Arabidopsis thaliana: one gene and its partners. The protein of the gene in region 1 interacts with the protein of each later gene in a pairwise test. Each region holds a gene or a part of one and is shown on either strand. Other genes may lie near its edges. The genes, in order: PSS1, WIP1 and WIP2.

Evidence for each region.
Region 2: the proteins of PSS1 (region 1) and WIP1 interact in a two-hybrid assay, tested with the Arabidopsis thaliana proteins (one study listed by BioGRID).
Region 3: the proteins of PSS1 (region 1) and WIP2 interact in a two-hybrid assay, tested with the Arabidopsis thaliana proteins (one study listed by BioGRID).

Annotation. Positions count from the first base shown.
Region 1 is NC_003070.9:5,197,325-5,202,718, forward strand, and holds PSS1 (phosphatidyl serine synthase family protein), read left to right. Parts: upstream 1-1,693; 5' UTR 1,694-1,942; intron 1,943-1,948; exon of another isoform or gene 1,949-2,243; 5' UTR 2,244-2,269; coding exon 2,270-2,430; intron 2,431-2,516; coding exon 2,517-2,582; intron 2,583-2,680; coding exon 2,681-2,740; intron 2,741-2,853; coding exon 2,854-2,944; intron 2,945-3,057; coding exon 3,058-3,112; intron 3,113-3,198; coding exon 3,199-3,278; intron 3,279-3,363; coding exon 3,364-3,480; intron 3,481-3,583; coding exon 3,584-3,668; intron 3,669-3,756; coding exon 3,757-3,848; intron 3,849-3,929; coding exon 3,930-4,183; intron 4,184-4,268; coding exon 4,269-4,361; intron 4,362-4,456; coding exon 4,457-4,664; 3' UTR 4,665-4,851; downstream 4,852-5,394. Other genes in the region: AT1G15120 (Ubiquinol-cytochrome C reductase hinge protein), read left to right, coding at 5,324-5,394. UniProt on the Arabidopsis thaliana protein: Catalyzes a base-exchange reaction in which the polar head group of phosphatidylethanolamine (PE) or phosphatidylcholine (PC) is replaced by L-serine. Is essential for phosphatidylserine (PS) biosynthesis and PE seems to be the most plausible substrate.
Region 2 is NC_003075.7:13,363,602-13,368,170, forward strand, and holds WIP1 (WPP domain interacting protein 1), read left to right. Parts: upstream 1-1,681; 5' UTR 1,682-2,135; coding exon 2,136-3,018; intron 3,019-3,196; coding exon 3,197-3,783; 3' UTR 3,784-3,930; downstream 3,931-4,569. Other genes in the region: AT4G26450 (uncharacterized protein), read left to right, coding at 1-792, 873-1,026, 1,102-1,180, 1,264-1,319; LRE (lorelei), read right to left, coding at 4,044-4,408. UniProt on the Arabidopsis thaliana protein: Mediates and enhances the nuclear envelope docking of RANGAP proteins mediated by WIT1 and WIT2 in the undifferentiated cells of root tips.
Region 3 is NC_003076.8:22,749,909-22,754,870, forward strand, and holds WIP2 (WPP domain interacting protein 2), read right to left. Parts: upstream 2,910-4,962; 5' UTR 2,456-2,909; coding exon 1,585-2,455; intron 1,411-1,584; coding exon 752-1,410; 3' UTR 554-751; downstream 1-553.

The DNA of each region.
Region 1 (5,394 bases):
ACGCTTATTCTTCTGTTTAATTTACCTGTGTTTTACTCTCACTTTTAATCCAAGAAAACTATCCACTTTTCACTGTTGGTTTCAGAATCCCATTGCTTATTATTTAGTTATTATTACTAATGAAAAGGTTAAGGAGGAGGGGTAAGTAATGTTGTGACAAGTGACAAGTGGTGTCTCCATCTGCATGGTCTTCTTGTAGGAATGAGCTGTTTATCTTTGTTTGTATTCCAGTTTCAAACTTTATAATACTATTTCGTTAGTGCTTTTTAATTGTATTCGCAGTTATGTGAATTTTAATCAAGAGCTAGCTGACCTGACCGTATGCTTATTATAGTTAGGGTCCATTCTCTACAACTACAACTGTACATTTATAATAAGCATGCTAGTAGATTTATTGTGACGATTTCAAGCACATAGAAGAGTCTATATCATCACTTCACTTGTTAGGCCTCTCTTTAATTTCATATTATATGACACTTTTTTCATTCAATGAAAAGAATAAAATAAAATTAATTGTTTGATACTCCTAATTAGGGATGTTATTCTCTGCTTCTCCTTTGTACTTTTGGGAATATCTGTCAAATCAATTACTTAAATGAGAATATTAATAAATTTGGCATTTGATGTGCTTTATTTGGCTGCAATTAAACAACAATCATATGAGTTATTGAGTATCATTCCAACCCCATAAATGTTAGCCTTTTTAAATGGAGTATATATTACTACCGTTTTTTTGTTCGTAACGCATATTACAACCGCTTTAATCAGAGAAATTATTTAAAGACGAATCTGGTGAAACATGAATTAATTTTGTCAAATAGAATATGTGAATAGTATTTCTGTTTATGTTAAATTAGGCAATAACATTACATATATACTTAATCCTTTATCTGAAAACACTAGATTTATGATAAATACGAAAGGTAACACTGGTTAGCGTATGGAACCATCAAATTTTGACTAAATGTTTTCTAACACTATGAGTGACCAAAACATTTCCTTTTACAAATTAAAATTTGTATTAGTCATCCTGCATACATTTCTTTTTCCCCAAACATTTTCAATTTTGGAATTTTTTTATATATATGTAAATTACATTTGAACAGGTCTAATTTGAATGGTTAATACGCGGTTCAAATAAAGTTGGCAAGTAATTAACAAACGAATCCACATCAAATTTCAATTACTGTATGTACCAAAACCACATTTATACCAAACCGCATCATAAAATAAAATAAAAATTCTTAAGGCCTGTTTTGTAGATTTTGTAAGAGTTTTTGGTTTTTGTTTTTTAAAAACTTATTTTCATACCAATCAAGATTTTAAAATTTTGGTTTCCCTACAATTTAGTAAAACTATTTTATTGTAATTTTCCATTCATGATTTTAGTTTTTTAGTTTTTGTAAAATTTAGGAAATCTAGTTTTTGTTCAATCAACGTTATTTTTCTCAAAAACCAAAAACCATTTTTTGGAGATTTTTTGAACAAAAAATATAATAACAAAAATCTAAAACTAAAATCTAAAATTCAGAAACTAAAATCTAAACTCAAAAACTAAATTAAAAATCAGGGCCTAAATTTTGACATAATATGGATAGATGATGATAGTGAGACCAAACCACATAATATTGCATATTTTGATGTCACCATTTGATAGCCTATAAAAAGGAGAAGAAGCAAAGGGTAGTTCTGGAAAAAAAGGGAATCGTGGGGGAAAGAAAGCAGAGTCGTTTTCAGATCGTGAATAGAAGCAGCAGCAGAAGCCGTATCTATCCCTCTCTCTCTCTCTCTCTCTCTCTCTCTCTCTCTCTCTCTACTTTGACCGTTCCTCTTCTTTTTATTCATCAACATCATCGAGCTTTCTACTACTTGGATTCCTACTTCTTCTTCTTCTTCCTCTGATTCTCTCCCATTCCAATCAATCTCTAGGGTTCTTCTTCAGGTATCTCAAATCTCCTCTCTTTTCTTTTTATTGCTAACCATTTTCATTTACTTTGGCTTATTTTTAAGTTTAATCTTCTTCTGATATTGCGTCTGCTTTTTTACCTCTGCAAAGACAGAACCTTTCTCTGTCTCTCTCTGCTTGTACCTTGTACCTTTTCTCTCTGTATACACTCCATTGTCTGCCTTTTCTCGTCTCTCTTCTCTTACAGTTTTTATTCATTAATTTCTCTCGAGGATGCTCCTCAGGCCCCTCTTTATCTCATCTCCCAGCTAAAGTTTCTCTTTTTGTTTTTAATCAGCAATACTTCAGAAGCTGGTTTTGGCCATGGAACCCAATGGGTACAGGAAAGAAAGAAGAAAGGAACAACATTTGGGGAGAATGAATGGTGGTGGTGGTGATGTTGAGACTGATCTTGATCCATGGACTGCATGGGCTTACAAGCCTCGCACTATCTCTCTTCTCCTTATTGGCGCTTGTTTTCTCATGTGAGTCATCATTTCTTCCTGCTTCTTCCCTTTTACCTCTCTGCCCATTTCTCGTAATCCTCAATTTGGTTTTGAATTTTACTTAGTTGGGCTAGTGGAGCTCTTGATCCTGACAGCACTACATCTGATGATCTTGTCACTTCTGTCAAAAGGTTCTCTTTTTCCTTCTGCCCACATCATGTTTTTTTTTCTTTTTTCATTTGATTCCATCAATTAACACTAGTCTACTATGTTTATGTTCCTTTTCTAGGGGAGTGTGGGCTATGATCGCTGTCTTTCTTGCTTACTCTTTGCTCCAGGCCCCTTCAACGTTTGTTTACCATCTCAGCTGTTTTATTAATTTGCTTTCTCTTTTATAATGTAGATTGTGGTTGTTGGTGATACTTGTGATGTGTCTTTAATCAAGTAATTTGCTTTATGCAGGGTTCTAATCAGGCCCCATCCTGCAATCTGGCGCTTAGTTCATGGAATGGCCGTCATTTACTTAGTTGCACTTACTTTTTTGCTCTTTCAGGTTCACTTTTTTTTCCTCCCTAGATCCTTCTTACTTGCCTATGCCTGTGATTTATATATGGATTCTTGTTTTAAGTGAGCAAACTCTAATAGTTACATTATTCATGCTCCCAGAGACGTGATGATGCACGGCAGTTCATGAAGTTTCTCCACCCTGACCTTGGAATAGGTAAGAGTTTCGGAGAGGAATGCTGTTTATTCGAGGAGCTACCACATCAATGATTGACCATCTTATTGAGTTTGCTCATGTTGCAGAACTTCCTGAGAAATCATACGGTGCTGATTGCCGTATATATGTGCCTGATCACCCAACAAACAGGTTTAAGAATCTTTATGTAGGGTATCTTCTCAACAACTCCCCTTTACCTTAACCAACCTTCATATCACCTAAAGGCTTATGCTTTGATTAAAATTTATCAGGACACAGTATTTGATGAGTTTTTCTTGGCTCACATCTTTGGTTGGTGGGGGAAAGCAATTCTGATCCGGAACCAGCCGCTTCTTTGGGTGCTTTCAATTGGTTTTGAGTTATTGGAGGTTGGTCTTTGTCTTCGTTTTCTTATATTACAGGTTCCAATTTGATATATACAAAAATATCGCTTCGCCTGTGTCACCGAAAAGTTATATTTATGTTCTCCAGGTTACTTTTCGGCATATGTTACCAAATTTCAACGAGTGCTGGTGGGACAGTATTGTTCTTGATATCTTGATATGCAACTGGTTTGGTATGATTCTTAAGCTACCTTGCTATTCTATATGTAGTGCTTTTAAACATGTTATGGATAACAGCTTTTCTTGTTTTAATCATGGTAGGTATCTGGGCAGGAATGTATACAGTTCGATATTTTGATGGAAAAACATATGAGTGGGTTGGCATTAGCCGCCAGCCTAACATTATTGGCAAAGTAGGTTTGTTCAACCTTGAGAGTGCATACACATGGTCCTAGCCGTTGTACATCCAATGAGAATTTTGTATATTTTTTCAGGTGAAAAGGACACTGGGGCAGTTCACACCAGCTCACTGGGACAAAGACGAGTGGCATCCGCTGCAGGGACCTTGGCGTTTTATTCAAGTACTCACTCTTTGCATCATATTCTTGACAGTGGAGCTGAACACATTCTTTCTCAAGTTTAGCCTGTGGATCCCCCCTCGAAACCCAGTGATTCTCTATAGGCTGATCTTGTGGTGGCTCATAGCGATACCAACAACACGGGAGTACAATTCATATCTTCAAGACAGGTAAAGCTATAGCCACTGCGATATTGGTTGGAGTTAGTTTGGAAAGAGTTTTGTATATAACTTGTGTAGTTTTGGTTGTTCACAGAAAACCTGTGAAAAAGGTGGGAGCATTCTGTTGGCTGTCACTGGGGATATGCATAGTAGAACTTCTCATCTGCATCAAGTTTGGAAGTGGTAGGTGGTTCCTTACACATGCTCTGCCTTAGTTATTTATGGTTACAGTTACATAGTGTGGAGAGTGTAAACTTGGTTGTATGGTTATGATACGAACAGGATTGTACCCAACAGAAATGCCATTGTGGGTAGTGACACTATGGGGAAGTGTGGGACTTGGACTTGTGGCCTTCTTGCTGTCTTGGACATGGAAGATCCAGAAGATCCTCGCGCAAAAGAGACGTTAAGCGCATCATTATTGTTGCAGCAGAGACGAGAGAGAAATAGAGGTGAGACAGTGAAATGCCATTGTGGTTTTTTTTTGTAAATAGGGAGAAGAAGGAACGATGTAAATGCAATTTTCTTTAGGGATAGTGTGTGATATTCAACATTTACGAAGATTCCATCAATTCTTTCATGCATCAAAAGTTCTTTCATCTTTGTTCTGCCCCCTCAATCTGACAAAACATGTTGGTTTGAATGTCAATTTTTTGTTACCATTCACACATTCAAGTTTTCAACAGTTCAAAAAAAGAAGAAGAAGTTATTGAGCCATTGTTTCTTCTGGTTTTTGAGATGATTGTTTTGTGCTGCCAACTCTTACATGACATTAACAACATTATTGTGCTTTTACTGCCATTAACTCCATTACCACCATTCAATTTTTCTGTCTTTAATTATTGGTTCCAGTTTTGTTATTCTGGTCTATTATTTTGTATTATCATCATTCTATCAAACAGATTATTTGTTTTGTTGAAGGAAATGAAAAAAAGAAGAAGAAAGAATCAAATATGATAAATTGAGGATAATATTAAGATTGTGTGACCTGCCGTGCCGCCCAACAACATGTCACATGGTATCTTAGGTTTGCAAATTCGTAATTTGACATCTTCGACGACAATTTTGACTATCTATCTAATCTTAACATCACTCTTCCATCATCACTTCCTATTTTATTCCAACTTTCTTAAAGAAGCCAAAAAAAGGATGATGTCAGAAGTTAAGGAATATTCTGACAAGGATAGGATGCCCTTAAGGGAATCTAGAGTCTTGAATGG
Region 2 (4,569 bases), on another chromosome or scaffold:
TTTGAGTCATAATATCAAGGATACCTCTCATAATTCTGGACTTGAAGAAGAAGATCAAACCGAAAATCGATGTGAGACTCGAGGCCAATCATCTGGAAAGGCCGATAGTACTGGTGATGAAAATGACCAAGTTGAAGATTTTGCTCTTGTTCAATATATTGAGAACAGTAAATGTCATAGGTCTAATTCTTTTCCCAGTAGCATTCTCAGGGATAACAGTGAGAAAGAATCAGGATTAGAATTGCCTAATCTGCACAGATCACATTCGGTGGGGAAAGTAGGTGAGAAAAGGCCTGGTGAAGGCAGTGACTTGGAGGAGGGATCAAAAAGACAGAGAGATTGGGTGGCAGTTTCTGAAGCTAATGAACGCTTCAACATGTTTAAAACAAGCGGAAACCAATGCGATCCGGAAGAAGAAGGAAAGACAAGCTCGTTCAACAAAAGACTGATTGACGGTGCTGCTGGAAAAAGGGTCAGCCATGAAAGTCTGGTTAATAACTCTACATACAATAGGACACACACTGGCAGAACAGGTCCAGGGTATGCTGAAGAACATCAGCTGTTTCCTGCTTCGTTTAAGATGTGTGACCTAAATCTAGGGGGAGCGTCGGATGTGAATGATGGGATAAAGGAATCTCGTCAAGCTGTTGATTTTGATCTCTCAATCAGCAGTTCTAGTAAGTCTCTCGAGTTTGGTACGAGTACTCGGATGAGCAATGGTAAAGAGATAGAAGTGATTAATTTGGATGATGATCAAGAAGTGGTAAAGTCCAGCAATGATCCAGGAAGAAAGTACGGCCAAGTCCTACTCTTAACACTTATATATACACACACCTATTACATTTTGGCTAATGGGTTTTCATATCTAACAGGCAAGAAGCTGCTCCATATATGGGCATCGATGACGTCCCAGACTACAATGAAAGACTCATGATGGTAGAGTATCTTGATTCCTTTACTCCAATAAACCAGGGAACCAGTAGTGTCCCACAGAATAACAACACAGTTAGCCTTCAAGACCGAGAGGTACCTACTCTACTTGTCAAGTTTTATGTCACATAGAATGTTTGTTGTTGCTAACAGATCCTGAAAACGTCTCAGGGAGCTATTGGAAATGACCAAGTACCAAATAATACAGACGATGATTCGATCTTCATGTCACTCGGAGAAATACCATTGAGTAAGACCAATATCAAATTCTTTCTCTTTTCTATTTTAGCTTCTTAAAGAGCTGAGATTCATTATGTCTTTGCAATTGTGCAGCATTCTTGCAAGCTTGGGACCAACCTCCAGCTCGAGGCTACGAGAAGCCTTTCTGATTCTCTTTTTTTTTGTTATGTTTCTTCAGTCTGTGTAATGAGTGTGTAGTAGCCCAATTTCGTTTGTGCTAATCTCAATCCTCTCAGATGATGTAAGAATGTGACTTGTGGTGTTTTATGGTTGTATGTACCCTTTGTAATTCTCTGTTTATTCTCACACTGTCCCCATGTTTTAGGTCAGTTCAACAATTTTCTGAAATTGTAATAACCAAAATGATAATTATTAACGGTATATATATGTCGTGTCCAATCTCACGGTCAAAAATGAAGAAGGTGATGCTGAGAGGTCAGGCGATTCCGACACGTGTTATATTCCAACCACCCACACGTAATTTTCAAAAAGGAACAAAATTGATCATGAGGGAAAAAAGAATAAACTTTTTCCCACAAAGAAACTTTCCACATTGAACGAGAGAATTATAGATCTGCGAATCCGATCATTGGATTAGGGTTTTCACTTTTCACCCTCCTTTTTCCATCTCTCTGCTGTATACCCTTCCTTTCTCCAAAAAGACCAAAACTTTGCGATTCAATTCGAAATCTGTGTTCTTCCATTGAGCTGGATTTTCATTTTTGGAATCATTTCTTCTCTTCTTTGATCCGATAGATGGTGGCATGGTAGGAAATTTTAGACCTTTATATTTCTATTTAACCGTCAAGGAACCAATGAATTTGTATAGCTTGTTGAGTTGACTTTTTGATTGTGTATGATCGAATTTGGGATCCTCATTTCGGGTTTTGGGTTATTGATCTGAGCTCCTGTTACTTCTGAAACCGATGTGAATTTGGTGGGGGATAGATTTTTTTGTGGAGTCAATGGATTTGGAGAGTGAAAGCTCTGCACTTGAGTCTGTTGATGATAATGTTTTGATTCAACAAAGTGCCAGCAACGTTTGTGATGATGGTAGGAGTTTGGATAACGGGTCTTGCTCTGATGAGAGTGTGAAACTGCTTTCGACTTCTAATTCTGTTGAACTCGGTAAACCTATGAGTTTTGATTCACCAGGTGATGGTGGTGGTGCTTATTCTCCGGTTTTGAAAGGACAAGGCTTGAGAAAATGGAGGAGGATTAGGAGAGATCTTGTTAAGGACACGTCTGCGAATATGGAGAATAGTAAAGCTCTGAAGAGAGGGTTGTCAGGTGTTGCTCATTCACATGGTAAACAGATGCAGTTTCAGTCACCGGAAGTTGAACAAGAGAGTCAGGGATCTGTTGGGTCTGTTAATATGTTGAAAAGTAGCGGTGATGGTTTTGATATACTTGGGAGTAGTGGTTACGATTCTAGGTTTGTGGCAGGGGTTGGTTTTTCAGCTGGTATGGATTTAGAGATAGATGATGATCGGAGTAGTAAGTCTTCCACGGTTGCAAGAGCTCCCAAGGTTATTAGGTATGAGAAGCCAATGATTAGTTCAGGTCAGGGAGGAAACATTCGTGTAGAGAATAGTAAGAAACATAGAGGAGAAAGTGTCGATTTCGAGAAGGAAAACTCTTATTCCAGCTTGGAATCTGACTCAAGAAAGCAGAGTGGAAGAATGATGGACTACAATGGTGAAAATGGGGAAACGTCAATGAGAAAAGATGATGCGGGAGGAGAAGGCGGAGAGTCGATAAACACGGACAATCGTTACTCAGATGAAATGGATCCATTAACAGAGGCCATCAACGGTTTCTTGGCCTTGCAAGATGCTCTTGAAAAAGGTAGCCATTCTGATTATTTTTTTGCTGCGGATTGTATCTAAACTTGCATTATTTTTACTGCTGTTACATAACTATTTCTTGTTATGAGCCTGCATTATCATGTTGGAATCAACTAATAACATCACATGAACAATGATTATGATGTTTAATGTGACTCTTTATGAAATTTCATTTGCAGAGGTTCAGCAATTCCAGGAGATCGGGAATGAACCAATGCCACAGCATCATGAACAAGTCAGCGAAGCAAATTCACCTCACCCCGAGATTGTAACCCTGGTAAACAATGTTGAACAACTGGAGAACATGCTAGAAGAAACAAGGTCCATGCTTGAGGTGAAAGAATCACACATCCGTGACCTTGAATCCACCACGAACCAAAGCAAACACTCGTGGGGAGGAACAGAGATTGTGGTTGAAGACATCTTCCGGCAGAAGATTGAGGCCGAGATTGAATATCTGATATATTCAAGATCTATCGATAACTTAAACAGTCAGATGAAGTTAATTGATGAACAAGAGTCATTGGCAGAAGAGCAAACCCATGAGACGCTGAATAAGCTAGGAAGAGTACAAACGAAGGCTGCAAATTTTACAAACAGAGCTCAAGACCTGCAAAACGATTGCATAGAAATCACCGGGACCATCAAGAAGAGAGCATGTAAGATCACTTCATACGTTCTTATACAGTTAGTATTGCTGTCAACAGTAGTTTTGTTGCTCCTGTCTCAATTGTTGCCGGAGCCAGATACTGTTGTACCCACATGACTTTTGATTTTTGATGTAAACTGAGTTTTGTTTTGGCTTTTGGCTTTTCTTGTTAACAATTCGGCTATAAGTTTTGCCTCTGGTAATAAAATTAATCAAGTAAGTCTCGCTTCTTCTTTTGTTTATTTTGGAGGTCAAGTATTCTTTACACTTGGACACTTGGTCAGTAACAGAACAATTTGATAATTCTATCTAGTTTGTTAGCTAATATGGTATCAAAATGTAATCACTCTTTGGCTCTTTCAATTTCCTTTGATTGATCAAGTCAACACTAACAAAGCAAAAACAGCGGTTGCAGCAGAGATCAACAGCGAGATAAAACGAGGAGTCGAATCAGCAGTTGAGGCGTTTAGGTTATGTGAATAGAGAGGTGGTAAAGGGCAAACAAGCCCATCTTTCCTTTCTCTGCACTCGTTAGCGAAAAGGCCAGTAGGGTAGTTTCCATAAATATTCATGTAGCTGAACATTGTCTGTGCACAATCACTATTCATGTCGTTGATCTGACTCACGTAAGGACATGCAAATTCTTTAAAAGCAGAGCAACATTCTTTGGCTGGAAACGCTGGACCTTTGCACCTCTTTGTCAAGACCTTGTAGTCCATATACTCAAAGTTCACTTCACATTCTGTTTCCAACCAAACAAAAAACAAGAGTTAGTGTCACACCACTTATATATACTTATCTATACACAAACTTGATACACTGATCCAATAATACAAATATTATATAAGAACACTAATGATACAATTTGATTTTAAATTAAAACCAAAGATGAAAAAGTTCTGA
Region 3 (4,962 bases), on another chromosome or scaffold:
CCAAATTTGAAAGAAAGAATCAAATCTCTCTTCATTACACTAAGAAAAGAGACCAAACTATGGTAGGTCCAAATTTGTAAAATGATTTGGATATAAATCCAAAGATCATCACATTAAGACACCTATGAGTGAGTCTAAGATGAATAATAACTTCTTCTTTTTTTTAAGTATATTTGATCAAATTGATTATTGGTTTGCAAATCTAAAACTCTTCAAGACGTGGGCATTGTTAAGTGTTGTTGGAACAAACCAACATTAAGATGGCTGTTTATAGTCAAATTGTCAAAAGTCTCCACTTGCAGCTAATGACATAAGACCACTTCTATGTGTCATCACAAACAACACACCACACAATATATTCACACAACTATATTGAATTCTTCTTATTTATAAACTCTAAAGAGCTTACAATGAATATATATTAAGACCGACTCAAATTATTTAAAGGTTATGTGCAAATTTTCATTGTACATGTGAATATCTAAACTTTTTTCACTTGTGTGTTTATATATCTTATCTTCTGTATTTCATTATTTCTTATTTACTAAAGAAATTATGGAAAATGATGGCAAAGTTGACAAAGAGGCAACAATTTTATACATACACACTGACGTCATGACAATGCAGCACGCAGAAACACAAAGTAGAAAGCAAAGAAGAGTTGGGTCTATTGGAGCCAAAATGTTACAATATATATAAATACAAAACTTGTATAAATATAGATAAAAACAGATTCCATCAAACAAAACTATCATGTGGGAACAGCAATCTCCGGTTCTGGTAACAGAGAATAATACAGTATAAAGAGCAAGCCTAACTGTAGAAGAAGACATCTAGTGGTCTTAAATGCTCTCTTCTTCAGGCACTCCACTTCTTGAATCTCTGTGATCTCTACACAATGGTTTTGTAAATCTTGAGCTTGATTCTTTAGATTCTCAGCTTTTGTTTCTGCTTTATCAAGCTTTGATAGCCCCAATGTCTTCTCTTCTTCAATCAGTTTGATCCGTCTCTTTAGGTTTCCCACTGATCTTGAGAATATGATATATTCAATCTCTGCCTCCACCTTTTGCTGGAAGATGTCTTCTATCCCGATCTCTGTTCCTCCGTTACACGTCTCTGAAACGTTTATGGTAGATTCGAGTTCACGGATTTGTGTTTCTTTAACCTCGAGAATACGCTTTGCTTCTTCTAGTTTGATCTCCAGATGCTCTACATTGTTCACCAGGTTTAGTATCTCGGAATCTAGAGAAGTTAATTCCATTTCTCCCATCTTTTCAGACCCAAACCGGTAAGAAGAGCTTGCTTCACTAGCTCCTTCGTGTCCTGCGTGTATGCAACTGCTGCTTTCTCCTCCATCATGCAGTGATGTTATAGGTTCTTCTTTCCCAAGCTCTTGGAATTTTTGAAGTTCTGAAAAGGGAAAAAGAACAGGAGTTTAGTCAAACTCGAAACACAATCATGTTAATATTACACGGCATCATAAGGAACCAGTGTTAGAGTCATTCAAGTTTTAGTTGATTAGGACTACTACAATGCAGCAACAATCAAATTCCAAATGAAAATCTGTATTTATGAAATTGATACCTTTTTGGAGGGCTTCTTGCAAAGTCTGGAAACTGTTGACGGCTACTATTAATGGATCCAGATTGTCTGATGAACCATTGCTCTTGATTTGAGACTCTTCAACACAGTCTCCTTGTGAATAGTCTTCTGTTTCTTCTTCTTCTTCTTCCACGTTATCCTTTCTCTTCGAAGTATGTGCGTCATGATCACTATTTTCATCGTCATAATCCATCATTCTTCTTCCGCCTTGTTCTCTGCTACTCAAACTATAGGAAGCACCCTGCATAAACACAAAGTTGGAGCTTCTTGAGTCAGCAGATTCCATGCTGGAATGAGAGTTTTCCTTCTCAATTTTGATCCTTTCTCCTCTAAGTTTATTACTCTTCTCTACACTACTCTTCCTTTGTTGACTACTATCCCCCGAACTAATCACACTCTTCCCACCCGAGACCTTTCCTCTATGTTTGTCCCAAGAATGACTCATTGTACTACTCCGATCCTCACTGTTATCCGAATCAACACCAGCTGCAAAAGCAAGACCATTGCCATAACTCTCCCCACCCATTACAAAACCAACCACACTATTCACCGAGCCAACAGAACCAACACTATCTTGTCTAACTTCAGGTCCTGGCAAATGCATTTGTTTAGCATTCGGATCAACTAATCCTGACAACACCCTCTTCAGAGCTTTACTATTCTCCATACTCACAGAAGTATCATCCTTAACAAGATCTCTCCTTAACCTCCTCTTCCATTTTCTTAAACCAAATCCTTTTGATATAAGAGGAGAAGTCTCAACCGGTGAATTCAACTCTTTATCAAGATCACCAATCAAACCATTATTATCTTCAACAGATTCAAGAACAGAGCTTTCACTCTCCAAATCCATGACGACGCCACAAAAATACTAACTTTTCACATGGGATCAATCTCAAGACTAAACAACCACCATTCCAGTAAGAACCAGAGGCAAATTCAATAAAACCAAAATACGAAAACAAAAATGAAGCAATAGGGTTCTCTAAATTCAACTCAATTCCCAGATTAATCACATTTACGAAAGCCAATGAATCGAAAGTTTCGAGCTTGACGTACCTAATAAAATGGAACGCAAAACCACTCAAAGGTGAATCCTTTACGAAGAGACCGAAACGAAATTAGAAGACGATTTAAACGATTCGCAGAGATCTCTCTCTATATCCGTTGATTGTGGAAAGTTTCGTTGCGAAAAATCGTTTTTTTTTTCCCGGTTACGATCAAAAAACATTTTGATTCGTTTCCTTTTTTTTGTAATAGAGAAATACGAACGTGTGAGCGACATGGTCGGGACACGTGGCGAAACCGCTGGATACTTCAGCAACTACTCGGATATTTTATGACCGTTCGATTCGACGTGATCTTATCTGGTCGGATCTGGAATTCAACGGTGTGTGATATACCGTTAGGACTTTAATATGATCTCGACTATTTTACTAATTTACCCTCGTCTTTCTAACTTCTTCAGTTTTGACGTTTACATCTTTTCTATATACAGTGGTTGCCGTTTTTAGGTATGGAAACAACGAGACTTATCCTTGAGCGTTTGATAAACGCTTCCACATCGTTTGATAACGAGACTTTTCTACATACAGTATCAATCTTGTTTTGTTCATACGTCACACACTCCAAGATTTTGATGGTAAATTTTTTGTTTTTGTGTGTGTGTGTGTGTAATGTGTATGTTTTTAAAGTCCCTTATGATTGTAGATAAATGTGAAAATGTGTGGGGTAAATAAATAAAAAGTCACAAGTGGACTGGTCTTGGACCAATTCCCACTGTGAAATCAGATTTCAAATGTTGTGTCAGTGTACACATACATACATGCACCACCTTGAATTAAAAAAAAAAGATAATTACTCGATTATGAGGAGTTTATCTTACAAATTACAATATACTAAAATGTTATTGATAAGAAAAATTGTCAAATACTACTAGGTTACTACTTATGTTATGTTAGTACTATTGTTAGAAATTTAGTTCATAATCACATAGTGGAAGGAATTTCACTTACTTAGAACCCAAAATATGTTTTACGTAAAATATTCTCTTGACATTTTTCTCCTATTAATTGCAGCAATGATAGTATTATATGATTCAATACTCAATATAGTACAATGTTTGGAGTTTTCTATAGACCACAAAATACAAACAGTAAATGACAAACAACCAAAGTACTAAGAAAATTGAAAATGGTTCCCTTTCTTCAATCCTACAACCTCTTTTAAGCTCAAAGTTCAATGTCTTAAATCTGACTCTTGTCTATTTAACTCTCTTAAATCCAATGTAACCCATGTTATATTTATACTTCTCTAATAACTCGATCTTAAATAAAAACTGGAGTCTTCTTGGTAAACTAAAGAAGAAAAAAAAACTCATTAAAAATTTCCAGAAAATGCAGAGGAGGTTGAGAGAAGAGAGAGAGGAGAGCTAAAAACAAATGACATAAAGGAGAATCCAAGATTATAAATTTAAGTTAATTATAAAATGGTTTTTGATTAAGTGGGTGATCATTATAAAATGACATTGGTACATGTTTAGACATTAACCATCTCCAGGCTGCTTCTCTCTTAACCATTTCTTTAATCACTATTTTAAAAACAAATTAATGTCCATAAGCACTTTCAGATCCAACTCACAACTCCAGATTCTTCTCCCTCTTCATTATCACAATCTTCTGCTCTTCCTCAAAAAGAAACACAGAGAGAAAGATAGACGAGAGAGACAGGCTTGGTAATGAAAAGATATGCAGGGGAAGTGACACGTCTTTTTTTGCCTTGTGTCTGAAAAAGATCAAACAAAAGGGTAAGTCTTTAAGAAATCATCTTTAAAGATTTGACTAATATGTTGCTTTTTCATTGTTGGTCCTAGCTAGAGAGTAAAAAGATTCAATCTTGTTAATGATGATGAACATTAGACCACAAACTCAATGTAAAGCAATGATTTTTCTTCTGACCCGTGACCTCTCCATTGTTGCAGAGACTCTCTGAAACTGGCTTGGTGTTGTTGGTCAAATCTGAAGTAAGAGGAGGAGGAGAAATTAAATAAAGAAAAGAAGAAAACACAAATTGGGTTTCAACAGTGTTGTAGAAGAGGGACCCCACAAAATGGAAGAGTTAGATACATCACATGCAGTTTCTCAGATTTTACCTCAATCTCATTGAACTGCATCAACTGTTGCATTCATGTTCTGACTCATCTCCTCTCAGTCCCACTCACTTCAATATCATCTGTCAGAGAAACACCATTATGAGATTCATTACCAAGTTAGAGAGATAAAGACATAACCTTTTGAAGCTGAGAGGTGAGAGCTTTCATTTGAGTTTAATTTGTGTTTGGTGAAAGAAGTAAAAGGAGTA